4 linked regions of the Anolis sagrei genome follow. The protein of the gene in region 3 interacts with the protein of the main gene of each other region in a biochemical or structural test. Links are inferred from orthologs where the notes say so. Each region holds a gene or a part of one and is shown on either strand. Other genes may lie near its edges.

Region 1 (7,231 bases), on a different chromosome or scaffold from region 3:
ATAGGCTCCAATTTAATGCCATGTAAAATATACATATATAATAAAATAAATGCATATATTAAAACAATAATTAAGAACATATCAAACCTTAAAAACACTTGATAAAATCACGTAATCAATCCTATGGAATTCTGGGAGTTGTAGTTTTACAAACCATCTCTTCCAAAGAATGCTGCTGTCTCAGCAAACTACAAATCCCAGGACCCCATTGAATCGAGCCATGGTAGCTAAAGCAGTGTCAAACTGCATTCATTCTACCATATGATACACTGGATAAGAAACCTCCAAGGACTCCAGCTCAACTCCACTCTTGCAAACTCAGAACCAGGGGAGACTTTTAATTGAATCAATCCACCTGTAACAAAGTCTTCCTACTGTTCTCCACTTGACCGAGCAGTATTGCCTTAGGTAAATCAATTAGCATCGAGCATTGATTCCGTGGCACTGAGCCATGGCAGATAAAGCAGGGTCAAGCTGCAGGAATAGCAGGACTTGCCCAGGAGCTGCCTAAGGAGCAAAAGAAAATGGTCAGATGGGGGGGGGGGGAGGAAAGGGAGGGAGAGGGGAAGAAGTAGAAAGGGAGAAAGAGCAAGGGAGGGGAGAGACAGAGAAAAGGAGTAGAGGGAAAATGTGTTGTTCAAGGCTTTCATGGCTGGAATCACTGGGTTGTTGTGAGTTTTCTGAGCGGTATGGCCATGTTCCAGAAGCATTCTCTCCTGATATTTCGCTCACATCTATGGCAAGCATCCTCAGAGGTTGTGAGATTTGTTGGGAACAAGACATGTGGGGTTCATACACCTGTGGAATAATGTCCAGGATGGGAGAACTTGTGTCTTTTTGAAGCAGGTGTGAATGCTGCAATTAATCACCTTGATTAGCACTGAAAAGCCTTGCAGCATCAAGGATTGGCTGCTTTTGGCCTGGGGAATCATTTGTTGGGAGGTGATTAGCTGGCCCTGGTTGTTTCTTGTCTGGAATTCTCCTGTTTTTGAGTGTTCCTCTTTATTTACTGTTGTGATTTTAAAGGATTTTTTAAAATGCTGGTAACCAGATCTTGTTCATCTTCATGCTTTCCTTCTTTCTGTTAAAATTGTCCACATGCTTTGCAATGCTAATCAAGGTGATCACTTGCAGCATGCACAGTTGCCTCCAACAGACAAGAGTTCTTTCTCCCGCCCTGGACATTATTCCACAGATATATAAACCCCACTTGCCTCGTTTCCAACAAACAATGCAACCTCTGAGGATGCCTGCCGTAGATGCGGGTGAAATGTCAGGAGAGAATGCTTCTGGAACATGGCCATACAGCCCAGAAAACTCACAGCAACCCAATAGAGAAATAGAAGGAAATATGAGAAGGGGAGAGGGATAAGAGAGAAGAGAGGAAGACGGGGAGAGGGAGAAAGAGCAATGGAGGGGAGAGAGGGAGAAAAGGAGTAGAGGGAAAGAGGAGAAGGAGAGGGAGAAGAGCGGAAAACTGGAGAGGGAAAAGGAGCAAGGGAGGGAAGAGAGGGAGAAAAGGGGAGAGGGAGATGAGGGGAAGGCGAAGAGAGGGAAAAAGAGTGATGGAGGGAAGGAGAAAAGGAGTAGAGGGAAAGATGAGAAGAAGTGGAGAGGAAGGAGAGGGGGAAATGAGGAGAGGGAGAAAGAGGGAGGGGAGAAAGGACGAAAAGGAATAGATGGAAAGATGAGAAGAAGGGGGGAAGAGGGAAAAGAGTTAGAGAGTGGAGGAAGGCAAAAAAAAGGCTAGAAGTAAAGATGAGAAGAAGGGAAGAGGGAGAAAAGGGGAAGGTGGGGAGAGGGAGAAAGAGCGAGGGAGAGGAGAGAGGGGGAACAGGAGTAGAGGGAAAGATGAGAAGAAGAGGAGAAGGAGAAGAGAGGAAGGTGGGAAGTGGGAGAAAGAGCAATGGAGGGGAGAGAGGAGTAGAGGTAAGGAAGAGAAGAAGGGGAGAGGGAGAGAGAGGGAGTGAGTGAGGGGACGGGAGAAGGGGAGAGAGGAAGGAGAAAGGGAGGGGGGGAAAGAGAGGGGGAAGAAGTAGGCGGAGAGGTTGGGGGAGAGAACCCTGGACCCTTCCCCAAAAGCGTGCCCCCAGGGCTGCCCCACTGACCCGGGTTGAAGAGCACGGTGCCCTTGAGGTAGGCGTACTCCTTGGTGCTGATGTCCAGGCTCCAGCACTTGGCCAGGAAGCCTTGGATGGCTTGGATCTCCCCCGCCGAGGGCAGCTGGGGGCAGCGGGGCTCTGGGTCCTGGGGCGGGAGCCGCTCTTCCTCCTCCTCGTCGTCGCCGTCGCCCTGGTGGCGGTGGTGGCGGGGCTGGGCTTGGCCGGGCTTCTCCTGGGGCTGTCCGGGGTGTTGGTGGGGGCGCGGCTGGGTGGTGAGGATGCGCTGGAGCATGCTGGGCCGGGCGCTCTCCACGGTCTCGAAGTGGACGCGGTCCTGGGCCAGGCCGAGGGCGAGGAGCGGCGCCCAGCAGCTGCGCACCAGGACCAGTTGCTCGTCGAGCGGCAGCTCCTGGAAGCAGGGCACGCTCTTGACGAAGCGCAGCGTCTTCACCAGCACCGCCGAGGCCGCCTTGCAGGCCGCCTGGGGGCTCCGCAGGGCCACGCGCCGCCCGGCCCCGCACGAGCAGCCCGCCGCCCCGGCCCCTGGCCTCGCGGGGAGCGGCAGCGGAGGGGCCGGCAGCGGAGGGGGGCCCGCCAGCGCCTCCCCGCCTTGGCCCGCCGCCTCCCCCTCGCCCTCCCCCTCTTCCTTCTGGTGCTGGCGGTGCTCCTGGCTCTTGAGGATGTTGTAGAGGATGCTGCCCTGGCGCCGGTGGTCCGTGCAGCAGCGGCAGCGGTCCAGGCACGCCATGGCCGGCAAAGAGCGGGAAAGCCGCCTCGCCCGCACGCCCGCACGCCCGCCCTCGGGGCTATTTATAGCGCGCAGGAGTTCAAAGGCGCAGACGCTGCCGACTGGCTGGAAGGAAGGGACGGGGAGGAGGAGAGAAAGAGAGAGAAAGAGAGGGAGGGAGGGAAGGAGGGAAGAAGGAGAAGAAGAAAGCCCCCCCCACCAGGACTCCACCCTCTCCCCCCCCTCCCCTCCTTCTCGGGAGAGGAGGGCGTGTTGTCGCCGTCCCTTTCCAAATGCCCTCCCGCTTCTTCCGCCCGACCGTCCCACGTCGCGCGCTTTCCGCGAAGGGCTGAACGGGAGGGAGACCCACGCCAAGTTCAAGCGGCCGGAAAGAAGGAAGGAAGCGCCCCCTCCGGCTCCCCGCCACACCAAGGCGCTTCCGCCCAACGCTGCCTTCCGTGTCGGCGCGGAGTTGGCGCTTCTTCCAAGGCTTCCTTTGCAGCCTTTCCCTCGGTTGGATGGGGTGGGCAGGCGGGAAACGAACCCCTTTCTCATCTATATAAACAACAATGTAATGTTCGTTTGTGGGATTAACAAAACTCAAACACCACTGGACGAATTGACAAAAAAAATGATTTTCTCATTTGAGAGTTGTAGTTGTTGGTTTGGTGGGCATTGACCTTGAGTTTGGGTGTTATAGTTTACCTACATCCAGAGAGCACTGTGGACTCAAACAATGATGGATCTGGACCAAACTTGGCACGAATACTCCATATGCCCAAATATGAACACAGATGGAGTTTGGAGAAAATAGACCTTGACATTTGAGAGTCGTAGCTGCTGGGATTTATAGTTCACCTACAATCAAAGAGCATTCTGAACTGCACCAGCGACAGAATTGAACCAGTCTCTCCACACAGAATCCCCATGACCAACAGAAAATACTGTGTTTTCTGATGGTTTTGGTAACCTCTCTGGCACCCCTTTATGACCTCTGCAAGGATCCCACCCCCCAGGTTGAGAAATGCTGCCTTAAGGCCATCCAGCCCAACTCCCTTCACCAGGGCAAGAAAACATAAAGCCCTCTTGACAAAGAGCCATCCAGCCATAGATATAGATAGATAGATAGATACAATTCACACACACACACACATATTTGTATATGACAGATATAGTATCATAGATTTGACAGGGACCCCTAAAGAAGGACAATTATATGTTGCATGTTCCAGAGTAGGCAAACCAGACAATCTCTACATCAACACTGACAAAGAAACAAGAATAAATACTGTTTACCCACAAGCATAAAGAAATTACACATATTAGAAACCAACACTTTCTCGTTACTTTATTTTCCAGATCACCAAACTGGGCCACAGCAATGCCTGGCAGGGGATGGCTAGTGTGTGTGTGTGTGCATGTGGACAATTTCAACAGAAAGAAGGAAACCATGAAAATGGACAGAATCTGGCAACCAGTACAGTAGAGTCTTGCTTATTCAACATAAGCAGGCCAGCAGAATATTGGATAAGCGAAAATGTTGAATAATAAGGAGGGATTAAGGGAAAGCCTATTAAACATCAAATTACGTTATGGTTTTACAAATTAAGCACCAAAACATCATGTTTTACAACAAATTGGCAGAAAAAGCAGTTCAGTACACGGTAATGTTATGTAAACATCACTGTATTTATGAATTTAGCACCAAAACATCGTAATGTATTGAAACAGCTGTGGATCCAGGCGGAAGGCAAACTGCGTTGAATAATACGGAACCTTGGATGAGTGAAGGTTGGATAAGCGAAACTCTACTGTATTAAGAAACTCTAAAATCAGAACAGTAAATAAAGAACACTAAAAAAAACCAGGGGATTCCAGACAAGAATCAATCAGGACCAGCTAACATCACCAAACAAAGAATTCCTCCAGGCAGCAATCAGCCAGGCAAAGCTACTAAATGCTAATCAAGGTGGCCAATTGCAACATTCACACTTGCCTCAAGCAGACAAGAGTTCTTTCTTCTGCCCTGGACATTCCACAGGTGTATAAACCCCACTTGTCTAGACCCCTCAACTTCTGAGATTGGCTACTATAGATGTGAGCAAAACATCAGGAGAGAATGCTTCTGGAACATGGCTATACAGACTGGAAAACTCATAGCAACCCAGCCAGCAGGCTGTTAGGAATTGTGGGAGTTCTAGTCCAAAACACCTGGAGGACTGGACTTTGTCCATGCCTGTATTACATTACACCCAAGCAGTGTCCCTTCTCCGGAATAATAATAATAATAATAATAATAATAATAAGAAGAAGAAGAAGAAGAAGAAGAAGAAGAAGAAGAAGAACAGCAGTAGCAGTAGCAATAACAATAATTTATTTATAACCCACCCTATCTTCCCAATGGGGACTCAAGGCAGTTTCCAGAAGAAAACCAGCAAACATTCCATGCCGAAAGTGATCAACAAAACAAATCAAAACAACCAATAAATAGCATCAGTATAAACTTAATATATAAACTTAAAGGACAACTTGTTGTCCAATGCTTTCATGGCTGGAATCACTGGGTTGTTGTGAGTTTTCCAGTCTGTATGGCCGTTTTCCAGGAGCATTCTCTCCTGATGTTTCACCCACATCTATGGCAGGCATCCTCAGAGGTTGCGAGGTCTGTTGGAAACTAGGCAAGTGAGGTTTCTGTATCTATTTCTCCCACCCTGGATATTCCACAGATATATAAACCCCACTTGCCTTGTTTACAAGAGACCTCACACCTCTGAGGATGCCTGCCATAGATGTGGGCGAAACATCGGGAGAGAATGCTTCTGGAACATGGCCTTACAGCCGGGAAAATTCACAGCAACCCTTAAATGACAACCAAAGGCTAGATAGAGACACACAAACCTCATTATGCACATTTACATCAAAAGGATCTAAATCATTAAAGTGCAATTGAAAGTATAAAATGATAAGTGACGTTATATAAAATAATGTGATGATGATATCAACAGTCTAACAGCGCTAAAGTGCATTGCCAGAGTCTGAAGAAGAATTGCAAAATAGTCCCAAATTTTCCATAAGGAGACCTAAACAAGTTACATTTTTGCTTTCTCGTGGTGCAATGTATACTAATATTACTACTACTAATATTAACTTTATTTATATCTCCCCAAATGGACATGCAGCAGTTTGCAACAGATATTGGCAAACATTCAGTGCTGTAAGAAGCTGAAAAAAGACAAAAAATAACCAACTTCCCAAATCCCAAAAGCAAATCCACATCTACATCAAAAATAATAACACATTATCAAAAATTAGACAGTAAACATAATAAATGTACAATTGTACTAAAATATGATATACAGTTACCATCAGACAACATGTCTAGGGGTGGGTGAAAGGATAAACAAATGGGTATGCTTAGCCTTGTTTCCCATCTTTGAAGTAACTTATTAAGCATAAGCAAGTATTCCAAAATTAGGGGGGGGGGATCCTAAATGCACAACACTTGTGTTCCCAAACATTTCAGATAAAGAATGTTTAGTGTGTACCCACTATTTCATTGATTTGAATCTGCATGTGTAGAGAAAAGATATATTTTAAGCAGAAATCCAAGTAATCAGAGTATGAAGAGCAAGAGGTGGTGCAGGATATTCCCTAACCAGGAACATAACATATTCAGTATTTCTTTCTCTTGTTATTTATTATTTGCGAGCTTTTGCTTTTTTCTGTGTTGTAAAATGGGCAACAAATGAAAGCACCCAATACACATACACCACTGATGCAGGAGACAGTTTTTGATATGTTTTTCTTTCAGACAGCAGTGAAATTGAACCATCACAATTGTACAATATTTAGTACCAGTTTATCCTTATGAAAAGGAATAACAATGTTATTTTCATTTAACCAGGTCTTTGATCAAAATGGTAACTCTGTTTCACATCTACTTTCTTGATTTACACTTTAATTGAGTGTCTCCAGAAGTCATGGAAAGACATGTTTCAATAAGAATCCATTCTTGCTTTCCAGTTGCTCTCACTTCCAATCATGGTGGCTAAATAAACCTAATGTCTGAATGTGACAAAAGTTGACACTCAGTCATGTGATCCATGAGCGAGACAGAAAAACAAACCCTAGAAGAAAACCAACATTTCTCTGGTTTGTAGGAAGAGACCAAGCTAAGTAGTGCTTGAGTGCTTCCATTGGGAGGAGCTGTCCAAGGTACTGAACACTATCCCCAAAACAGGGTCAACATTTTGAACAGTTCCTTTAAAATTTTGGCCATAATCTGGAGCAAATTATTCTTGTTTCTTGTTTCTTTTCCTACAAGGCGTGTTTCTTTTCCTACAAGCCTAAGAAGGAATCCATGTTTTGTTGTGAATGGATTTAGTGCCAACACATGAATCAG
Region 2 (7,172 bases), on a different chromosome or scaffold from region 3:
CCCTGCTACATGCACAATGAAGGACCTTCTTATAGCAACACCAGAGGCACTCCAAGTGGCCAGCTAATGGTCAAAGGACATCTAATCAACTACCAAGCTTGCAAACTTTGTGTTTTGTTTGTTTGCTTGTTTGTTTAAAAATGCAATACAATTGTTTGATTTGCTCCTGACATGATAAATAAAACCCCTACAGTTTACCCCAATCAACTCCAAATACGCAGTTCTCAGCTGAGTTGCTTGATACAGTTAATGGGCCGTTTTGTATGTTATTTTAGCATTCCGGCTGGCCAATAATAATGTATTTTTAATAGAAGAATCCTGGTGTTTGGTTTCTCTCTTTCTTGTACAACTTACAACTAAACAGTACAGGTGTGATATCTTCTAGCTCTGATGTGCCACAGATACAATGTTTTGACCATTGTGTCCAGCTGTTCAAATCTAATTCTGGGAAAATCTCTCCTGGGGTGTTTAGCCATTTCTGTCTTTAGATATTGGACTGTTTGAAAAGGATGTTTAAAACAACTTAGCCATTTCAATGAGCCAACAAAATAAATAAATACGTTTCAACCTTTATTAATTTACTAACAGTAATTATAACATTCCTACCCCCTTCCTGTATCCCTATCACCACGAGGGATACAGCCCGTACCTTGGGAAATCTGATCTGGCCACGGTGGTCCACGCTCTGGTTACATCCCAAATAGATTACTGCAATGCGCTCTACGTGGGATTGGCTTTGAAGACGGTTCGGAAACTTCAGCTAGTTCAACGGGTGGCAGCCAGATTACTAACTGGGGCGGCATATAGGAAGCATACCACCCCCTTGCTATGCCAGCTCCACTGGCTGCCGGTCCATCTCCAAGCCCAATTCAAAGTGCTGGTTTTGACCTATAAAGCTCTATATGGTTCTGGCCCAGCTTACTTGTCCGAACGCATCCACCCCTACGTCCCACCTCGTAATCTAAGATCATCCGGGGAGGCCCTGCTCTCGCTCCCGTCAACAGCACAGATGCAACTGGTGGGGACGAGAGACATAGCCTTCTTGGCTCTGCCCCCCCCCCCCCCCAATGGAACACACTCCCAAATGAGGTAAGATCCGCTCCCTCACTCCTGGCTTTTAGACAAAAATTAAAATCATGGTTTTGGGACCAGGCCTTCGGGCAGTAGAAGTAAATGTATGCAGCATTTTGGAAAGGCAATGACTGGAACGGTGATTTGATGGACGAGACTGTTTTATTGTTTTAATGATTGTTTTATTGCTCATGGATGTATTTTTTTAATTTGATTTATATCTAATTGTAGTGTATAATTGTAATTGTTTGTACTGGCATTGAATTTTTGCCATTACTTATGTGTAAACTGCTTTGAGTCCCCCTCAGGGTGAGAAAAGCAGTATACAAATACTGTAAATAAATAAATAAATGATCTATATAAATAAAAATGTAATGTTCGTTTGTGGGATTAACAGAACTTAAAAATCACTGGACGAATTGACACCAAATTTGGACACAAGACACCTAACAACCCAATGCGACCTGCCTACCTGCGTGACCGCATCTCCGTATATGAACCCACCCGCTCCCTCCGTTCATCCGGAGAGGCCCTGCTCACGATTCCACCTCCGTCGCAGGCTCGTTTGGTGGGGATGAGAGAGAGGGCCTTCTCTGTGGTTGCCCCCCCCCCGACTTTGGAACACCCTCCCCAAAGACATTAGACTAGCACCCACGTTGGCAGTCTTTAGGAAGAACTTGAAGACCTGGCTATTCCGATGTGCCTTTCCGGAATAGGATAACCCCCAGCACTATGTCCCAGAAGCACTTTATTAGAGTTTAAGAGTCTCTGCACACTGCACTTGCCCAGAATCCCAACATACCACCTCTCACACCCAGCACTTTTTTAACCTGTACCCTTCATTGGCCCGGCCCTGGTTTTATTGCGTAATAGTGTAATGTTTTGTTTTCGTTATTGCATATCTTTTTAATTTGCTTTGCATTGTATTGTTATTGTCTGTTGTTGTGTTGAGGCCTTGGCCTTTGTAAGACGCATCAAGTCCTTCGAGAGATGCTAGCGGGGTACACATAAAGTTTAATAATAATAATAATAATGTATGTCCTTCACTCAAAAAAATTGCTTTTTTCATTTGGGAGTTGTAGTTGGGATTTATAGTTCCTCTACAATCAAAGAGCATTCTGGACCCCACCAACGATAGAATTGAACCAATCTTGGCACACAGAACACCCATGACCAACAGAAAATACTGGAAGGGTTTGGTGGGCAGTGTCCTTTGGTTTTGGAGTTGTAGTTCACCTACATCCAGAGAGCACTGTGGACTCAAACTATGATGGATCTGTACCAAACTCTACATGAATACTCAATATGCCCAAATGTGAACACTGGTGGAGTTTGGGGAAAATAGAATCCTAACATTTGGGAGTTGTAGTTGCTGGGATGTATAGTTCACCTACAATCAAAGAGCATTCGGAACCCCATCAACGATAGAATTGGGCCAAACCTCCCACACAGAACCCCCATGTGGGCCACAGCAACGCGTGGCAGGGGACAGCTAGTAAATAATAAATATCATACCCTTTGAGGGGGAAAAATATCCCCCCACACCACCCCACAAAAAAGATGGAAGTGGCAGCACTAAAAACCCCAAAGCCAGGACTAACAATGGGATTTTTGCCATTCAGTGTCATGATAAATGCACCACACCACCTGGACTACATCCAACGTCTTCACATTTGGGCTTTAAAATGGGGGAAATGCCTGCCCCGAGGAGCCATTTTGGCCCTTGTGGGAAATGTCAGCGCCGGTCCAGCGGGGCAATGGGCCACAATGGGCCTCCACACAACCAACCCACATCCCCAGGCCTGCAGCCTGACTCACCGAGGGCGAATGACGGGCTCCGTCCGGCTAGAAAGCGCGACAGGCCTCGGAAGGACGGCGAAGGCGCCTCACCTCAGCAGGCTCCGGCCGGAAAAGGGAGGCGTTCCCACTCTCTGTGACACTCTCGCGAGATTTCGGGCCCAGAGGCTTTCAGGGACGGCTCTCGCTCGCCCCCTGGAAGCAGCCGTGTGACGAAAAGAGAGAGGAAACCTCGGAGCATGCGCACTCGCGCTTTCGGAAATCTGGGTCTGGCCACGTGTCTCCTCCTGTCCTCCCCCTCCTCCCGTTCTTTCACGTCAGCAGGGAGCCCGCGTGGCGCATGGCTTGAGCGTTGGGCTACAACTCTGGAGGACGCGAGTTCGAATCCCGGCTCCGACATAAAAAAATCCATCAACAACTTGGAGTCACTCTGGACCGTGCCCTGACCTACAAGAAGCACTTTCTGGACATCAAGCAAAAAGTGGGTGCTAGAAACAATATCATACGAAAGCTGACTGGCACAACCTGGGGATCACAACCAGACACAGTGAAGACATCTGCCCTTGCGCTATGCTACTCTGCTGCTGAGTATGCATGCCCAGTGTGGAACACGTCTCACCACTGACATGCCGCATTATCATGGGGTGTCTGCGCCCTACACCACTGGAGAAATTACAGTGTCTAGCCCAGTGTTTCTCAACCTGGGGGTCGGGACCCCTGAGGGGGTCACGAGGGGGTGTCAGAGGGGTCGCCAAAGACCATAAGAAAACACAGTATTTTCTTATGGTCATGGGGAATCCATGTGGGAAGTTTGAGCCAATTCTATCATTGGTGGAGTTCAGAATGTTCTTTGACTGTAATGAACTATAAATCCCAGCAACTACAACTCCCAAATGTCAAGATCTATTTTCCCCGGACTCCACCAGTGTTCACATTTGGGCATATTGAGTATTCATGCCAAGTTTGGTCCAGATCCACCATTGCATGAGTCCACAGTGCTCTCTGGATACAGGTGAACTACAACTCCCAAACTGAAGGTCAATGCCCATCAAACCCTTCCAATTTTTTCCATTGGTCATGGGAGCCAAGTTTGGTTCAAATCCATCACTGGTGGAGTTCGGAATGTTCTTTGATTATAAGTGAACTAAAAATCCTAGCAACTACAACTCCCAAATTACAAAATCAATCCTCGCCCAACCCCACTAGCATTCACATTTGGGTGTATTGGGTATTTGTGCCCAGTTTGGTCCAGTGAATGAAAATGCATCCTGCATATCAGATATTTACATTATGATTTATAACAGTAGTAAAATGACAGGTATCAAGTAGCAATGAAAAAATATTATGGTTGGGGGTCACCACAACATGGGGGACTGTATTAAGGGGTCACGCCATTAGGAAGGTTGAGAACCACTGGTCTAGCCGGTATTGCACCGGTTTCAGGCGTGGGGGGCTGAGTCTGAGTGAAAGAGGGTCTACCCTAGCAAACCATTTGTATCATTACCCCAATACCCCCATGCATATGGGATATATTGAGTATGGTGATCAGATCATGATATGAATAAACATAACAGTTTAAATGATGCCTTTGCGAACCACCATGAGAATTTCGGGGGGGGGGGGGCTGAAGCCCCCAAGCCCCCCCCCCCCCCCCCCCGGCTACATGCCTAGACCAAGGCAGACACATCTCCAGCTCATCCCTTGTTTGGGTATCAGCCAGCACCCCAACGACTTAAATCAAGAAATAGTTTTCTAAGATCTACAGAGACACTCGCAAGAACACCTCAGCAAGCGAGAGTCCAAAAGTGGCAGACTCAAACCCAGAACCTCAATCAATGGCTGATACCCAATGAGAGACTCCCTCCTGGGCACACAGAAGACTGGGCGACTTGGAAGGCGCTGAACAGACTGCGCCCTGGCACCATGAGATGCAGAGCCAACCTCAAGAAATGGGGCCACAAAGTGGAATCCACAACATGCGAGTGTGGAGAAGAGCAAACTACAGACCACCTGCTGCAATGCAACCTGAGCCCTGCCACATGCACAATGGAGGACCTTCTTGCGGCAACACCAGAAGTACTCCAAGTGGCCAGATACTGGTCAAAGGACATCTAATCAACTACCAAGCTTGCAAACTCTGTGTCTTTTGTATGTTTGTTTGTTCTGTCAAAAATGTAATAGAACTGTTCAGTTGCCTGACACTATAAATAAATAAGCAACTTGGGGCCTTGAGCATTAATTATTATTATTGTTGTTGTTGTTGTTGTTGTTGTTGTTTATTCGTCAGTCCAGTGAAGACATCTGCCCTTGCGCTGTGCTACTCTGCTGCTGAGTACGCATGCCCAGTGTGGAACACATCTCACCACGCTAAAACAGTGGGATGTGGCTCTTAATGAGACATGCCGCATTATCACGGGGTGTTTGCGCCCTACACCACTGGAGAAACTACACTGCTTAGCCGGTATTGCACCACCATACATCCGCCGGGAAGTAGCAGCCAATAGTGAAAGGACCAAGGCAGAGACATCTCCAGCTCATCCCCTGTTTGGGTATCAGCCAGCACGCTAACGACTTAAATCAAGAAATAGTTTTCTAAGATCTACAGAGACGCTCGCTGGAACACCTCAGCAAGCAAGAGTCCAAAAGTGGCAGGCTCAAACCCAGAACCTCAGCCAATGGCTGATACCCAATGAGAGACTCCCCCCCCCCCTGGGCACACAGAGGACTGGGCAACTTGGAAGGAGGAACTATAAATCCCAGTAACTACAACTCCCAAGTGCCAAGGTGTATTTTCCCCAAACTCCACCAGTGTTCACATTTGGGCATATTGAATATTCATGCCAAGTTTGATCCAGGTCCATCATTGTTTGAGTCCACAGTGCTCTCTGGATGTAGGTGAACTACAACTCCCAAACTCAAAGTCAATGCCCACCAAACCCTTCCAGTGTTTTCTGTTGGTCCGGGAGTCCTGTGTGCCAAGTTTGGTTCAATTCCATCATTGGTGGAGTTCAGAATGCTCTTTGATTGTAGGTGAATTATAAATCCCAAGAACTACAACTCCCAAATGACAAAATCATAATTTTCTGAGTGGTGGTCACTCCTTTTGTTGTGAGATATTTTGTTGCCAACTTTGGTGTTATTTTGTTCATTAGTTCTTTTGTTTTTAAGGTACTCATCATCATTATTATTATTATTAACTTTATACCCCGCAAAATCTCCCGAAGGACTCGATGCGGCTTACAATGGCCAAGGCCGCCGACAACACAGCATACAATACACAATAAACTCATAAGCAAATAATAAACCATCAAGCAAGACAATAAGACAATAAACAATAACATCATGACACAATTAAAACCAAAGGCCGGGCGAAATGTAATGGACAAAATTAAAAGTGCTGAGCTTGACAGGTAAAATGTGAAGGGTGTTGGAGGTAGGTGCAATGTGCAGATAATCCTGAGTCTCTAACAAGGTGCATTTGGGACTTAAGGCCAGGAGTTTCCTATTCTGGAAAGGCACACTGGAACAGCCAGGTCTTCAGGCTCTTCCTAAAGACAGCCAGCGTTGGGGCTTGTCTGATATCCTTGGGGAGAGAGTTCCAGAGTCGGGGGGCTACCACAGAGAAGGCCCTGTCTCTCGTCCCCACCAGGCGCGCTTGCGATGCAGGTGGGCCTCTCCAGATAATCGGAAGAAACTTTTGGATTCGTAAACGGAGATGCGGTCACGTAAGTAGGCAGGTCCCAAACCATTTAGGGCTTTGTAGGTAAGCACCTGCACCTTGAATTGGGACCGGAAAATGAACGGCAGCCAGTGGAGCTCCTTGTACAGGAGGGTTGACCTCTCTCTGTACGGAGCACCTCATTATGCACAGAACATTTTTATATATGTAGACTAGCATATATACCCAGTGTTACCCAGGCATAATTGGGATCACTGCCAGCCTAATTTCTCCCTTCTTCAGCTGTGAGAAGGCCTACTTCACAATGTCTCCACAGCAATAATGTCTCCTCCCTTTCCCTTATACACATGTCACCTTTCTTTCCCAGTGACATCACATAAGACCACTACACCTAGCAACAGCCAATCTAGTGACATTACAGAGGGCCACTTGACCTTGCAACAACCTTTGTGGTACGAAAAGGCAAACAAACATACTTTGAAATTTATATATATATTATTTATTGACATTTCTAGGATTTCCTGGCCTCCTGTCTTTACAAAAAAAAGTCCTGCACCCTGACGGCTTCAATCCAGGAAATGTAGGCGGAAGTCCTGGTGAAGACAGTGGGCTTGTTCTGCACTTG
Region 3 (7,530 bases):
GGGAGGCTTCTCTCATGTCCCTGCATGGAGAGCTGGAGCTGACAGAGGGAGCTCATCCAGGCTCTCCCCGGATTCAAACCTCCAATCTGTCAGTCTTCCAAAACACAGCTTGCAGTAACTGTTATTCATTGGTGGTCTCCCACCCCAGTACCAACCAGAGCTGACCCTGCTTATCATCTGAGATTAGAAAGGATCTAGTACCTTCAGGACATCAGCTGCCTTCAGGACATCAGCTGCCATCAGGGCCCTTCCACACAGCCATATAACCCTGAATATCAAGGCAGAAAATCCCACAATATCTGTTTTGAACTGGGTTGTCTGAATTCACACTGCCATATATTCCAGTTCAAAGCAGATGTGGGATTTTTTTCAGCTGTGTGGAAGGGACCCTAGAAAGAAACTCCTCAAAATGGTACCAAAAGGAAACTTCCACGTGGCACAACTGTATAAAATTATGACCTTGCTACCAAGTTGGATCATAACTCATACGTATTGCCTCAAAGTTACAACACTAACAGGAACGCGCAGTCTCCAGTGCAGAATGCCCTTGGGAGAAATGACAGTGGGAAACTTACAAAACACTCCTGCAGACTCGGGATATGACACCGAGGCATCATATATTTCACAATGTATAATATCTGTTATGGCAGGATTATGCTTGGAACATTAGTGTATACATTAACATTCTCGATTGTGGTTAGGAAACACATTTTTTTTAAACCACCAGTCTTTTCAAAAGGCTTCCTTTCCATCACCTTGCCTCCTCCCCTGCAGCATCACCACAGATATAGGTGTCTTGAGGTTGTGGCAGAGAACACAGTGGACCTATCCCAGAAGTCAATCTGTCCCACTTTAATATAGATAACTATGACACATGTTTTGTGAAAGGAAACTTAACACATCTGCTCCAGGTGGCACAGCCCAACCTAGGTCCCTGAATAAAATCCCACATTACCTGCTTTTTTTCTGTATCAGGAGCAACTTGAGAAACTGCAAGTCGCTTCTGGAGTGAGAGAATTGGCCGTCTGCAAGGATGTTGCCCAGGGGACGCTTGGATGTTTTGATGTTTTACCATCCTTGCGGGAGGCTTCTTTCATGTCCCTGCATGGGGAGCTGGAGCTGACAGAGGGAGCTCATCCGCACTCTCCCTGGAGTCGAACCTTTGACTTGTTGGTCTTCAGTCCTGCCGGCACAAGGGTTCAACCCATTGTGCCACCAGGGGCTTTGAACTGGAATATATGGCAGTGTGGACTCAGATAAGCCAGTTCAAAGCAGATATTGTGGGATTTTCTGCCTTGATGTTCTGGGTTATATGGCTGTGTGGATGGGCCCCTACAGGAGAAGCCCATCTTTCCCTGATGAACAGACAGTGCACCCTTATGAAGATCCCTGCATCTACTGGGAACAAGATTCATCCCTGGATTTGGATGCAAAGGTAGGCCACACACCTGTGGCTGGAGTGGGCACTGAACCCTTCCCTCTCCCCTTTCTGAAGCTTCTCCTGGACAAGACTGAAGAGCCACAAAACGCCTTTCCAACTGAGGGCCCTTCCACACAGACCTATATCCCCAAATATCAAGGCAGAAAATCCCACAATATCTGCTTTGGACTGGGTTATCTGAGTCCGCACTCAGATAATGTGGGATTTCCTGCCTTGGTATTGTGGGATTGAGGGCTGTGTGGAAGGGCCCTTGGAATCATAGAGTTGGAAGAGACCACATGGGCCATCTAGTCCAACCCTATGCCATGCAGGAAAAGCACAAAGTATCCCTGGACACCAGGAGCCCCCAGTGGCACAGTGGGTTAAAGCACTGAGCTGCTGAGCTTGTTGACCAAAAGGTCACAGGTTCGATTCTGTGGAGCAGCGTGAGCTTCTGCTGTCAGCCCCAGCTTCTGCCAACCTAGCAGTTTGAAAACATGCAAATGTGAGTAGATCAATAGGTACCACTCTGGTGGGAAGGTAATGGCATTCCATGCAGTCATGCTGGCCACATGATCTTGGAGGTGTCTATGGATAATGCCGGCTCTTTGGCTTAGAAATTGAGATGAGCACCAAACTCCAGAGTTGCACACGACTGGACTTAATGTCAGTGGAAAACCTTTACCTTTACGTTTACTGTCCCTGTTCAGCCCCTGTTTAAAAGCCTCCAAAGGAGAAGCCCCCATTACACTATTTGTGTATAACTAAGTCCTTGAACTTCACTTTCAAGCCCTGACACAACTATATTTATGAATTGGAGAGGGGGGCTTGGGTGGGCATGTGAGAGAGGGAGAGAGAAGGAAAGAAAGATTGAGAAAGAGAGGATGTACTGTCAAAGACTTTCATGGCCGGAATCACTGGGTTGCTGTAAGTTTTTTGATCTGTATGGCCATATTCCGGTAGCATTCTCTCCTGACGTTTCGCCTGCATCTAGGGCAGGCATCCTCAGAGGTCTTAACTCACAACCTCTGAGGATGCCTGCCATAGATGCAGGCGAAACGTCAGGAGAGAATGCTGCTGGAACGTGGCCGTACAGCCCGAAAAACTTACAGCAACCCAAAGAGAGGATGATCGTGAAGATTCCCCTTTCTCTCCACCGGCTCCATTCAATGAGTCCTGGGTCTCTCTTCCTCGGATAAAGTGAAACCAAACCCCAATCTGATGCCCAAGCCCCCTTGGGACTGATGGCGAGCCCAAAGAGTGCCAGCACAGAGGGTTTCCTTGGCCAAGAGGGACCCTTCCCCAGCGAGAAGCCCCCTTCCTGGCTCCCGATGCGCCCTCTTCACCCCTTGCCTCGCCACGGGCTTGCCCCCTTCTCACTCCACAGAGAGTTCATGCAGTTTGACGTGTGGTCTGGAGCCTCCCTCCTCTGGCCAAGAGTGCCGGACCCGAGCGCCCTCCTTCCTTCCCTCTCCCTCTCCGCTCTCTCTGGGACTGACCTGGTGCTGTCAGCGCGGCTGGGGAAAGTCTCCTCGCCTGGTGGCATCTGGGCTTCCCCACCCGGGCCGCCCTATGGGCAGGAAGGAGGGCCCGCCCCCAGCCCCGCCCCCCAGCCCAGCCCACGCCCGGGAGACGGACACGGCCCCCCCCCGGGAAGGAAGGAGGGGAGGAGGAGGCGGCGGACCGAGGCTGGCGCTTCGCTGGAGAGGAAGCCACCGAGGAGGACATGGGCATGGGCATGGGCTGAGAGAGGCGCAGCACACCCGAGAAGGAAGGCAACATGCCAGGCTATGGGATCCTAGGAGTTGGAAAGTTGGAAGGTTTTCGCGTTCACTTCCCACCCAGTCCACACATTGCTGAAGTCAGTCATGCCGCTTGACCCCACTTGAAGTGCCAGGGCTCCACGCTATGGCAGCCTAGAAGTTGTAGTTTGGTGAGACACCAGCACTCTTGGGCAGAGAAGGCATCTTCCTTGAGCCAGGACAGTTCAAGCAGCGTCCAACTGCATTCATTCTACAAGTGAAGATGCACTCTGGGGGGAAAAGGGGGACAATAGCACTGAAACTGCCTGGTGTGAGAGTCTACACACACAGATCCAGCGTGGGGAGCACATGTGTGGAAACAGGTGTAGACTTCCACCTGATGCTAGGTCAGGCATGGGCCGGCTTGGGCCCTCCAGGTGTTTTAGACTTCAACTCCCACCATTCCTAACAGCCTTAGGTCACTCCTTAGGCGGCTAAGGGGGAAAAGGAAAGGCCTGAGGCTGTTAGGAATGGTAGGAGTTGAAGTCCAAAAAAACACCTGGAGGGCCCAAGTTTGCCCATGCTTTTGCTAGGTGCATCTGCACTGTAGAATTAATGCTCTTTGACACCATGGCTCAATGATATGGAATTATGGGAGTTGTCGTTTCACAAGGTCTTTAGCTTTCTCTGCCAAAGAGTGCTGGTGCCTCACCCAACCATAAAGGTAAAGGTAAAGGTTTCCCCTGGTGGCGCAGCGGGTTAAACCACAGAGTTGCTGAACTTGCTGTCCAAAAGGTCGGCAGTTCAAATCTGAGGAGTGGGTTGAGCTCCCGCTGTTAGCCCCAGCTTCTGCCAACCTAGCAGTTCAAAAACATGCAAATGGTTGAGTAGATCAATAGGTACCACATGACCTGGGAGGCATCTACAGACAACGTCAGCTCTTCAGTTTAGAAACAGAATTGAGCACCACCCCCAGAGTAGGACATGAAGGGAAACCTTATTTATTTATTTCAAATATTTGTATCCCGCCCTTCTCTACCCCCGAAGGGGGACTCAGGTAAAACCGTTACTTTTACCTTCACTGGGTGCTCCACAACCCAACTACAGCTCCCAGGATTTCATAGCATTGAGCCAGGGCAGTCAAAGTGGTGACAAACATCATTGTACAGTGTGGATGCAGCCACTCTTACAGCATTGTTATTCCAGTTTAATTGTCACGGCAAGGTCCCATGGACTGCTGTTTGGAAAATGGCATTGAGAGTTGTCAACCAGAGAGCTCTTGACTGAGACTCATCACAAAGTCCAAATCTCAGAATCCCACTGAATGGTGCCATGGCTGTTGAAGTGGAGCGATAATGCAAGCTTGTGTGATAGGGCCCTGAATGTAGAGGGTGTCGGAGAGAAACAACATTACGGGGCTATTTTGAGGCTTGCATGGACATGTACAGGACCACACACACACACACACAGAGACCCCCTCCAAAACATCACTGCAACAACTCCCTTCCATGCCTTGTCCTCCCAGTGGATCCCATCCACCATCAGGAGTGTGTGGGGGGTTGCTTTTCCTCTGTAGATTTCATGCAGTTTGACAAAACTAACTGCCATGGCATCATGGGATTTGTAATTTTACAAGGTCTTTAGTCTTCTCTGCCAAAGAGTGCTGGTGCTAAACATTGAGCTGTGGCTGTTAAAATGGTGTCAAAGTCCATTAATTCAACAGTATGGATGCGTCTGAAGAGAAGCTCAGCAAAGTTGAACCAGGGCAGACCTGGACCGATCCATCAGGTTTGACAGTGCTTTCCACTCCTCAAGGAGAAACTCAAGAGAAGTGATATGATGAGTCCATTGAGTAACCAGCAATTATTTATTTCCGTATTCTTCATCTACTCTTTTTTTCTTGTGCTCTTCTTCCTCATTGCTCCAGATAGCTTTGGCCACCATTCATATCATCTTTCAGGTATCTATGCTAAAAATATGCTTTTGGCACCTACTGTCTTCTATTGTTTTTTTTATTGTTAATTCAATATTAGAGGTCTAAAGAGTTTATATTTTTCTGGTAAATTAATTACAGAGTCCCCTCCTCCTGGTTGGCTTTTCTATCTCTAATTTTTTGGGGGGGGGGGGGGGAATTACCTTTAAAAAAAAGATATACAGCTGGCCCTTCATACCCACAAATTCTGTATCTATGGATTCAAAGTAAAAATGGTCCCAAACAGCAAATTTGATTTTGCTATCGTATATCAGGCACAGCATTTTACTATTCTATTGTATATGATGGCACAGATTTTGGTGTCCACGAGGGTCCTGGAACCAAGAGTACTGATATTAATACAAGCAGTTCCCAAGATATGAACAAGATAGGTCCTGTAGGTTTGTTCTTAAGCTGAATTTGTATGACAGTCAGAACAGGTAATTTTTTCAAGTGTAACTCCACTCATGTGGTGTTTGTTTTGCTGTCTGTGCCCTTGTTCATAAGATTCCACCTCACTTTCTGTGATAATTGGATTTTGAAAAATTTGAGCTGTTGTGGAAACAAGAATTAGTGAGAAAGCTTCAGTGGAGACCCCTTTTCCACATGATAATTCTTTCAGGAGTGGATTTCCCTTCCTAGGGGCAGATTCCGCTCACTTTTTATTGTCTACCCTTTGTTCTTAACTATGAGCCATTTGTAAGTCGGATGTTTGTAACTCGGGGACTGCCTGTACATGTTTTCATAAGAACACAGAGAGAGCTTTCAATGTTCAGTTTTGTTTTCCACCTTTGCTATACTATCAACCATGCAAAAAAAGTTTATCAAGTTATTTTTTCTATACCCAAAGATTGATGGATATCCAAGTGCATTCTGGCTTGGAAATGTAAATGCTCTTCACTAAACTGCACATCCCAGAATTCCATGTAATGTTGCCATGGCAGTAAAGGTGATATAATAATGCTAAAATGGTGTAGCAGTGTGGTAGGGCCCATGGTGCCTGAAGGCTGTAACTGTGTTTCTACGGAGCAGCTACAATGTCCTCTGACTCTAATCCAGTGGTTCCCAACCTGTGGTCCAACCTGTGGTTCCCAACCAGTGGTCTAAAAGAACGAAAATATCGTCCACAGCCTCACCATACTACACTGTTGCCTTGGGAACCACTGCTCTAATCCTTCTTGTTACTCAGAAAGAGTGAGGTGAGAATGCTATTACTTTGAACTTAGAAGGAGAGAACATGTTGCAGTTATAAGTCACAGAAGATAGAAAGGACCAACAGGACTAAAAAACAAACAAACATTGTGTCATGATGCTCCTGAACAGCAGCTAAGAGTATGGAAGCAGAAGACCCCCAGAAATACCGATGCCCCCATAGCTACATGGTGGTGCCAAGCCTCCATGCTACTGTTGACTAAGGGTGCATCTACACACCATAGAAACAATGCAGTTTGAGACCCCTTTAACTATCATGGTCCAATGCTGTAGAATCATGGAAGTTGTACTTTGGTGAGGCCCCAGTACTCTTTGGCAGAGCAGCCTAAAAACCTGATGTAAGTAAACTCCCATGTTTCCATAGTATTGAGCCATGGCAGTTAAAGTGATGTCAATCTGCATTAATTCTGCAGTGTAGATGCAGCCTAAAACCAGGAAAAATATGGCCAATAAGGAGGGATTTATGGCTTTAAAAGAGCAATGGGGAAATACAAAACTTGACTGCAAAACTGGTTTAATAAAAATGTATATGTGTTACACATTTGTCGTGCATCCAGAGGAAATAAATCAATTCTTCCCTTTTCAGAATAGAATGGTTCTGCTGCAGCTAAAGTTAGTTGTGATTTGCAGTCTGGAAGCAACAACTTGCCCAAGCTCTGGCACTCATTTCTCATCAAATACAAGGCATCTTGCCAGAAATTACAACTAACTTTAGCAGCTTTAGAAGTATTGTATTTTGAACTCAAGTGGACTGAGCTATTCATCCATTAGAGGAGAGAGAGAAAATTGTGTGTGATTTCTGTTTCTGTTACGCTAGGAAAAACAGAATTTATATCTGCATTGTTTAATTCATTGTTGTTGTGTGTGCTTTGAAGGCCCTTTCTACATTGCCATATAAAATCCAGATTATCCGATGTGTACTGGATTATATGGCAGTATAGACTCATATAATCCAGTTCAAACAGATAATGTGGATTATCTGCTTTGATGGTCTGGACCATATGACAGTATAGAAGGGATCAAAGTCACTTCTAATTTACAGGCTGGATCTGCACTGCCATATAATCCAGATTATCAAATCAGATAATTTAGATTATCTGCTTTGAACTGAATTATATGAGTCTACATTGTCCCATAATCCAGTTAAAAGTAGATAATCTTAGGGCCCTTTCTACACTGCCATA
Region 4 (7,052 bases), on a different chromosome or scaffold from region 3:
GCAACAGGAAGTGAGAGAAATCTACTTACCAGAAGGGAAATTTACTCCTGGAAGAGTTATTATCGGGAGGAAAGGGGTCTCCACTGAAGCTTTATCCTCGATCCTTGTTTCCACAACAAGCCAAATTTCCCAAACTCCCATTCTCACAGGGACAGAAAGTGAGGTGAAATCTTCCGAACAGGGGCACAGAAGGTAACACAAACACCACAGGGGTGTTCACCCTCCTCTATGTGATCCTAAGCTAAATATACATATAGATATGCATATACGTGTGCATATATATATAAATTTGGCTGAAGTTACATTTAGAAAATGTACTTGTTTCGACTTACAAACAAATAGACAGTAACACAAACACCACGGGGGGGTTCATCCTCCTCTATGCGATCCTATACACAGACACACACACACACATATAGATTTATTTATTTATTGCTGGAGTTACACTTAGAAAATGTACTCGTTCCAACTTACAAACAAATTCAACTTAAGGACAAACCTACAGAACGTATCCTGTTTGTAACTTGAGGACTACCTGCAGACAGTATTACTTTGGCAGGACCCACTGTGCTTTCATGTTATTATTGCACACTGGGTGGGAAGATATAAATAGATAATGGTAACAACAACCATAACAATAATGTAACAACAACAATGCCATTTCAGGAGCCTTCCTCTAGGTTAGGAGGTCAGGCCAATGTCTGCCCAAGGCGTGCACTCAGGACCCGCCTTGCAAGTTGGGCTACCAAGGTATATAGGGTCAGGTGAGTCACTGGGACCTGTTTTCCTACCTCCAGAAGTGAAGTTGCGACTGAGAACCTCCCCAGCGGCGTTTTTTTTGCCCCGTCATCAGGTCGTCCAGCCGGTCGGACTTCCTGGCCGCTCAGATCAACCCCAGGGCAAATGGCATCAGTTTGGAAGGGACACCCATCCCACTACTGCAGGCACAGTCAAACTTCAGCCCTCCAGCTGTTAGTAATTGTGGGAGTTGAAGTCTAATACACCTGGAGGGCTGAAGTTGGCCCATGCCTGCTCTAGTGGCTCAAAGCATTCTCTAGTTATACAATGAATATATCACTGAGATTCAACCAATTCAACATACGTTGTGGCAGCCACGGAAACAAAGTTTCTGGAGTAGAACAACTCTTTACAAAGTAAGGACCACACAATTAAACAGGAAATCACACATTCAAACCAGAACAGATCCATACCTGCTCCTGCCCCCTCCCCAAATGTTTTGTTATATAGTATAACAACAGCCAATGTAGCATCTGGACAAACGAACTAGGCCAACAAAGGAGAAATACTTGCCTAACGACCAGCAAATTTGGGACTTACTAATTCACTAGTTATGATAATTAGTATTTGTTTATTGCGGGAAATTGTAGAATGTTATTTGAAGCAGATGTGAGATTATACAACCACATTTAAAGGGAATTGATTAAAAGTCAGCAGGCAGTGAGTAAGAGGTCAGGCGAGAGTCTGTTGTTTTGGTGCTTTGTTTTAATGTTTATGTTTGTTACTCATAATAGGCCCATCGCAATAGGATTGATTAGAATTATAAAGACCCAAAACTCATCATTGGTGTAAACATGCTTTTGTCTTGTCTTTATGAAAATGAGATGGGAGGGGTGGGTTAGGAATTAGTACAGTGGTTCTCAATCTGTGGGTCTTTAGATGTTTTGGTCTTCAACTCCCAGAAATCCTATCAGCTGGTAAACTGGCTGAGATTTTTGGGAGTTGTAGGCCAAAACACTTGGGGACCCACTGAATTAGTATAATATGATTCAAAGCAGAAGTGGGGTTATACAATAGCATCTAAAGGGGACTAGACTAAAAAGAGAGATAAAAATAAACAGTGATGGAGAGGTTTGCCTATGGGACTTGAATTCGAACCATCGACTTTTCGGTCAGCAGTCCTGCCGGCACAAGGGTTTAACCCACTGCGCAACCAGGGGATCCTATATATATATATATATATATATATATATATGAATATAATAAGAATATAAATAAATATATTAAATATATTAAATATATATTTAATAATATTTTAGCTTTGAATATAATAAGAATATAAATTAAATAGAAATAAAGCAAGGTGTGTTTAATTTACCTTAGAATAAAATATATATATACATATATATACATATATATATATATAATTATATATATATAAACGAATATAAATATAATAGAAATATATTAAAGAAAGATGTGTAATTTACCTTTGAATAAATATTCCTATGTAATATAACAATAACAAAAATTCCTATGTAATAGAATAATTAATATTCCTATGCAATATAATAATTTGTTACATATAAATAAAGGTGTGTAATTTTATATATATATATTTATATATAATAAAATATATTCCTATGTAATATAATATTCCTTAATAATATTATACTAATATCCCTATGTAATATAATAATAAACGTTCCTATGTAATATAATAACAATAAATATTCCAGTGTAATATAATATTCCTTAATAATAATAATAATAATAATAATAAATATTCTTATGTAATATAATGGTAATAAATAATATTCCCTGATCATCATCATCATCATCCACTCCAGCCCTGGGTGCGAGGCCTGCTTGCCTTGAAGTAGCCTCCCTGGTAGTGGGTGTTGGGGGGTCCGAAGATGGCCACCTCCCAGTTGTAGAGGTCGCCTTCGTCCACCAGGCTGACGCGGAAGCCCTCCACGGGCTCCTCCTGAAGGCCCTTCAGCTCCAGGAGCAGCGCTTTCGCCGAGCTGGGCACCGCCGGACGTGCCATGCTCCAAAGCAGGCCGCGAACGAAGCCGGGGACTCGCGTGACGGGGGCGGCCCGGCTGCGGAGACGAGAGCGCGGCAGTAGGTGCTGGGGAAGGAACAGCACCGCCGGAGGAGGCTGAGGGGAAGAACAAGGCTGAGAGAGAGCGAGCGAGCAACCAGCCAGCCAGCCAACCAGCCGCCGCCGCGAGCGGGGTTGCCTGGGATGCGTAGTCCCGAGGGCGGGGGAAAGGGGAGGAGCCAGCCGAGGCCTCCGCCAATAGGAGGCGGGACCGTAGGAGGGGGCGGGGACTCTAGAAGGAGCCGAAGACTACACCTCCCAGAAAGAAAGCCTGCGGCAGGAAGCCGGAAGTGGAGGAGGAAAAACAAAGAGGCAGAAGGAAACAAACCCACAGAAGAAGTTTCCTAGGCGTGTGTGCCCGCTTCGTAAAATAGACCAAAATTGTGCCTTTCCAGAATTAGGAATCTCCAATACCAAGTCCCAGAAGCACTTTAATAGAACTAAGATTGCTGCACACTGCACTTACCCTATAATCCTACATACCTCCTGTCACATCAGCACTTTTAATCTTTTCCGAGCCCAATTCAAGGTGCAGGTGCTCACCTACAAAGCCCTAAACGGTTTGGGACCACCCTACCTGCGTGACCACATCTCCATCTACGAACCCACACGCTCGCTCCGATCATCTGGGGAGGCCCTGCTCGTGATCCCACCCACGTCGCAAGCGCGCTTGGTGGGGACACGGGACAGGGCCTTCTCTGTGGCGGCCCCCCGACTTTGGAACGCCCTTCCAAAAGATCTCCGACAGGCCCCTACTCTAGCTGTTTTCAGAAGGAATTTAAAAACTTGGCTGTTCCGTTGTGCCTTCTCAGACTAGGAATCCCCACCCCAAGTCCTAGTAGCACCTTAGCATAACTAATCGTCACTGCACACCGCACTTTTAATCCTACGTACCTCCTGCCATTTCAGCACTTTTAACCCTTGTACCCCATTGCGCCGGCCGAACCAGTTTTAATAATGTCTTGATGTACTGCCATTGTCGTTATTTTTGCTTATTGTTTTGATTTGCTTTGTTATTTTTGTGTTATGTTTTCTATTGTATTGTGTTTTGAGGCTTCGGCCTGTGTAAGCCGCATCGAGTCCTTCGGGAGATGCTAGCGGGGTACAAATAAAGTTAATAATAATAATAATAATAATACCCATTACTCTGGCCCGGCCCAGTTTTATAGTGTCTTGATGTATTGTTTATTGCTTGTTGTTAATATTGCTTTAACTGTTTTTAATTTGCTTTAGGTGTTGTATTGTTGTGTTGTGTTTTGAGGCCTTGGCCTATGTAAGCCGCATCGAGTCCTTCGGGAGATGCTAGCAGGGTACAAATAAAGTTAATAATAGGTTCTTGTGGGGTTTTTTGGGATATATGGCCATGTTCTAGAGGCATTTCTCCTGACGTTTCGCCTGCATCTATGGCAAGCATCCTCAGAGGTAGTGAGGTCTGTTGGAAATAGGACAATGGGTTTATATATCTGTGGAACGGCTGGGGTGGGGCAAGGAGCTCTTCCCTGCTAGAGCTAGGTGTGAATGTTTCAGCTGATCACCTTCATTAGCATTTGAAGGCCTGCCTGAGCCTGGGAAAACCTTTTGTTGAGAGGTGTTAAGATGTGCCTGGTTGTTTCCACCCAGAGGAAAAGTGTTCCTGCCATACATCAAGGGAACCACTGACCGCATAGGGAAGCTGATGAGGAAACACAACATACAAACAATCTACAAACCCACCAAGAAAATCCAACAAATGCTACGTTCAGCAAAGGACAAGAGGGATCCTCTCACCTCTGCAGGAGTCTACCGTATACCATGCAGCTGTGGACAAGTCTACATAGGGACCACCAAACGCAGCAGTATTGCCCAAACACGAATCAAGGAACATGAAAGGCACTGCAGACTACTTCAACCAGAGAAGTCAGCCATAGCAGAGCACCTGATGAACCAGCCTGGACACAGCATATTATTTGAGAACACAGAAATGCTGGACCACACCAACAATGTCTCTGTGTCAGACTACACAGAGAAGCCATTGAAATACACAAGAATGTGGACAATTTCAACAGAAAGGAAGAGACCAGGAAAATGAACAAAATCTGGCTACCAGTATTAAAAAACTCTAAAATTACAACAGCAAAACAGCAGAGAGGAAACAACCAGGCACATCTTAACACCTCTCAACAAAAGGTTTTCCCAGGCTCAGGCAGGCCTTCAAATGCTAATGAAGGTGATCAGCTGAAACATTCACACCTAGCTCTAGCAGGGAAGAGCTCCTTGCCCCACCCCAGCCGTTCCACGATATATAAACCCATTGTCCTATTTCCAACAGACCTCACTACCTCTGAGGATGCTTGCCATAGATGCAGGCGAAACGTCAGGAGAGAATGCCTCTAGAACATGGCCATATAGCCCACAAAAACCCACAAGAACCTAGTGATTCCAGCCATGAAAGCCTTCGACAATACAAAGTTAATAATAATAATAATAATAATAATAATAATAATATTACGAGCCATCCCGTGCCACACGTTGCTGTGGCCCAGTCTGGTGATCTGGAAAATAAAGTAATGAGAATGTGTCGGTTTCTAATTTATTATTTATTTATTTATTATTTGAACTTATATGCCGCCACTCCCCTGGGACTCGGAGCGGCTCACAAGAATGGCTAAAATCTAACAAAATTTAAAAGCAATTTAAAAATAGCAATATCAAACATTAAAAGCCTGTCGAAACAGGTATGTCTTATATGCCCTGCGGAAAGCTGGTAAGTCCCGCAAGGCACGGACTTCAGGTGGCAAAGTATTCCAGAGTGATGGTGCCACTGCTGTGAAGGCTCTGCGTCTGGTTGCTATTAGACGAAAGGTCTTGACACTGGGGACTTCCAATAGATCTTGGTCCTCAGAACGGAGGGATCTCTGGGGTTGGTAGGGGGTGAGGCGGTCCCTCAGATACATCGGCCCCAAACCATGCAAGGCCTTAAAGGTGAGTACCATCACTTTGAAAGTGATCCGGTGCTCAATTGGTAACCAATGCAGCTGTAGTAAGATTGGTGTTATGTGGCATCTCATCGGAATTCCCGCAAGAAGCCGAGCAGCTGCATTTTGTACCAACTTGAGCTTCCGGATCACCGACAGAGGAAGGCCAATGTAGAGGGCGTTACAGTAGTCCAGTCTTGAGATGACCGTGGCCTGGATCACCGTAGCTAGGTCGTCCCTGGACAGGTAGGGGGCCAGCCGTCTAGCCTGCCGCAGATGAAAGAAGGCGGTTCTGCTAACGGCGGATACCTGGGCCTCCATCGTCAGCAGAGGGTCCAAAAGGACTCCTAGAGTCTTTACCAATGATGACGGGCGTAGCGCCCTGCCATCCAGGGTAGGCAACTGGATGTCCCCATTGCCCAGTCAACCCAGCCATAGGATCTCCGTCTTTGCTGGATTCACCCCTAATATATATGTAATGTCTTTATGCTTGTGAGTAAACTACTTCTTGTTGTTTTTTTGTCAGTGTTGATGTGGAGATTGCCTGGTTTGCCTACTCTGGAACATGTAACATATCATTGTCCTTCTTTAAGGGTCCCTTTCAAATCTATGGTATTATGTCTGTCATATACATATATGTGTGTGAATCATGTATATCTATATCTATGGCTGTATAGCTCTCTGTCAGGAGGGCTTTGATTATGTTTTCTTGTCCTGGTGAGGGGAGGTGGACTGGATGGCATTAAGGCAGCATTTCACAACCTGGGAGTTAGCACCCCGGGGGGAGGGGGTTGTGAGGAGGTGTCAGAAGTGTTGCCAAAGACCACCAGAAAATACAGTATTTTCTGTTGGTTGTGGGGGTTCTGTATGGGAGGTTTGGCCCAATTCTATCGTTGGTGGGGTTCGGAATGTTCTTTTATTGTAGGTGAACTATAAATCCCAGCAACTAGAACTCTCAAATGTCAAGGTCTATTTCCCCCAAACTCCAAATATTCATATTTGGGCATATGGAATATTCGTGCCAAGTTTGGTCCAAATCTATCATTGTTTGAGTCCACAGTGCTCTCTGGATGTGGGTGAACTACAACTCCCAAATTCAAGGTCAGTGTCCACCAAACCCTTCTAGTGTTTTCTGTTGGTCATGGGAGTCCTGTATGCCACATTTGGTTCAATTCCATCATTGGTGGAGTTCAGAATGCTCTTTGATTGTAGGTGAACTATAAATCCCAGCAACTACAACTCCCAAATGACAA

What was found.
Region 1: the proteins of PPARG (region 3) and NR0B1 form a complex in vitro, tested with the Homo sapiens proteins (2 studies listed by BioGRID, with this or other methods). The link is inferred for Anolis sagrei from reciprocal best matches to the Homo sapiens genes PPARG and NR0B1.
Region 2: the proteins of PPARG (region 3) and NCOA4 form a complex in vitro, tested with the Homo sapiens proteins (2 studies listed by BioGRID, with this or other methods). The link is inferred for Anolis sagrei from reciprocal best matches to the Homo sapiens genes PPARG and NCOA4.
Region 4: the proteins of PPARG (region 3) and CDC34 form a complex in vitro, tested with the Homo sapiens proteins (2 studies listed by BioGRID). The link is inferred for Anolis sagrei from reciprocal best matches to the Homo sapiens genes PPARG and CDC34.

The regions. Positions count from the first base shown.
Region 1 is NC_090023.1:83,341,874-83,349,104, reverse strand, and holds the start of NR0B1 (nuclear receptor subfamily 0 group B member 1), read right to left. Parts: upstream 3,022-7,231; 5' UTR 2,851-3,021; coding exon 2,109-2,850; intron 1-2,108. UniProt on the Homo sapiens protein: Nuclear receptor that lacks a DNA-binding domain and acts as a corepressor that inhibits the transcriptional activity of other nuclear receptors through heterodimeric interactions.
Region 2 is NC_090023.1:159,364,648-159,371,819, forward strand, and holds the start of NCOA4 (nuclear receptor coactivator 4), read right to left. Parts: upstream 3,021-7,172; 5' UTR 2,890-3,020; intron 1-2,889. Other genes in the region: chymotrypsin-like elastase family member 1, read right to left, coding at 7,083-7,172. UniProt on the Homo sapiens protein: Cargo receptor for the autophagic turnover of the iron-binding ferritin complex, playing a central role in iron homeostasis. Acts as an adapter for delivery of ferritin to lysosomes and autophagic degradation of ferritin, a process named ferritinophagy.
Region 3 is NC_090022.1:64,554,163-64,561,692, forward strand, and holds the start of PPARG (peroxisome proliferator-activated receptor gamma), read right to left. Parts: upstream 3,006-7,530; 5' UTR 2,920-3,005; intron 1-2,919. UniProt on the Homo sapiens protein: Nuclear receptor that binds peroxisome proliferators such as hypolipidemic drugs and fatty acids.
Region 4 is NC_090034.1:52,346,855-52,353,906, reverse strand, and holds the start of CDC34 (ubiquitin-conjugating enzyme E2 R1), read right to left. Parts: upstream 3,002-7,052; 5' UTR 2,789-3,001; coding exon 2,612-2,788; intron 1-2,611. UniProt on the Homo sapiens protein: E2 ubiquitin-conjugating enzyme that accepts ubiquitin from an E1 ubiquitin-activating protein, and catalyzes its covalent attachment to other proteins by an E3 ubiquitin-protein ligase complex. In vitro catalyzes 'Lys-48'-linked polyubiquitination.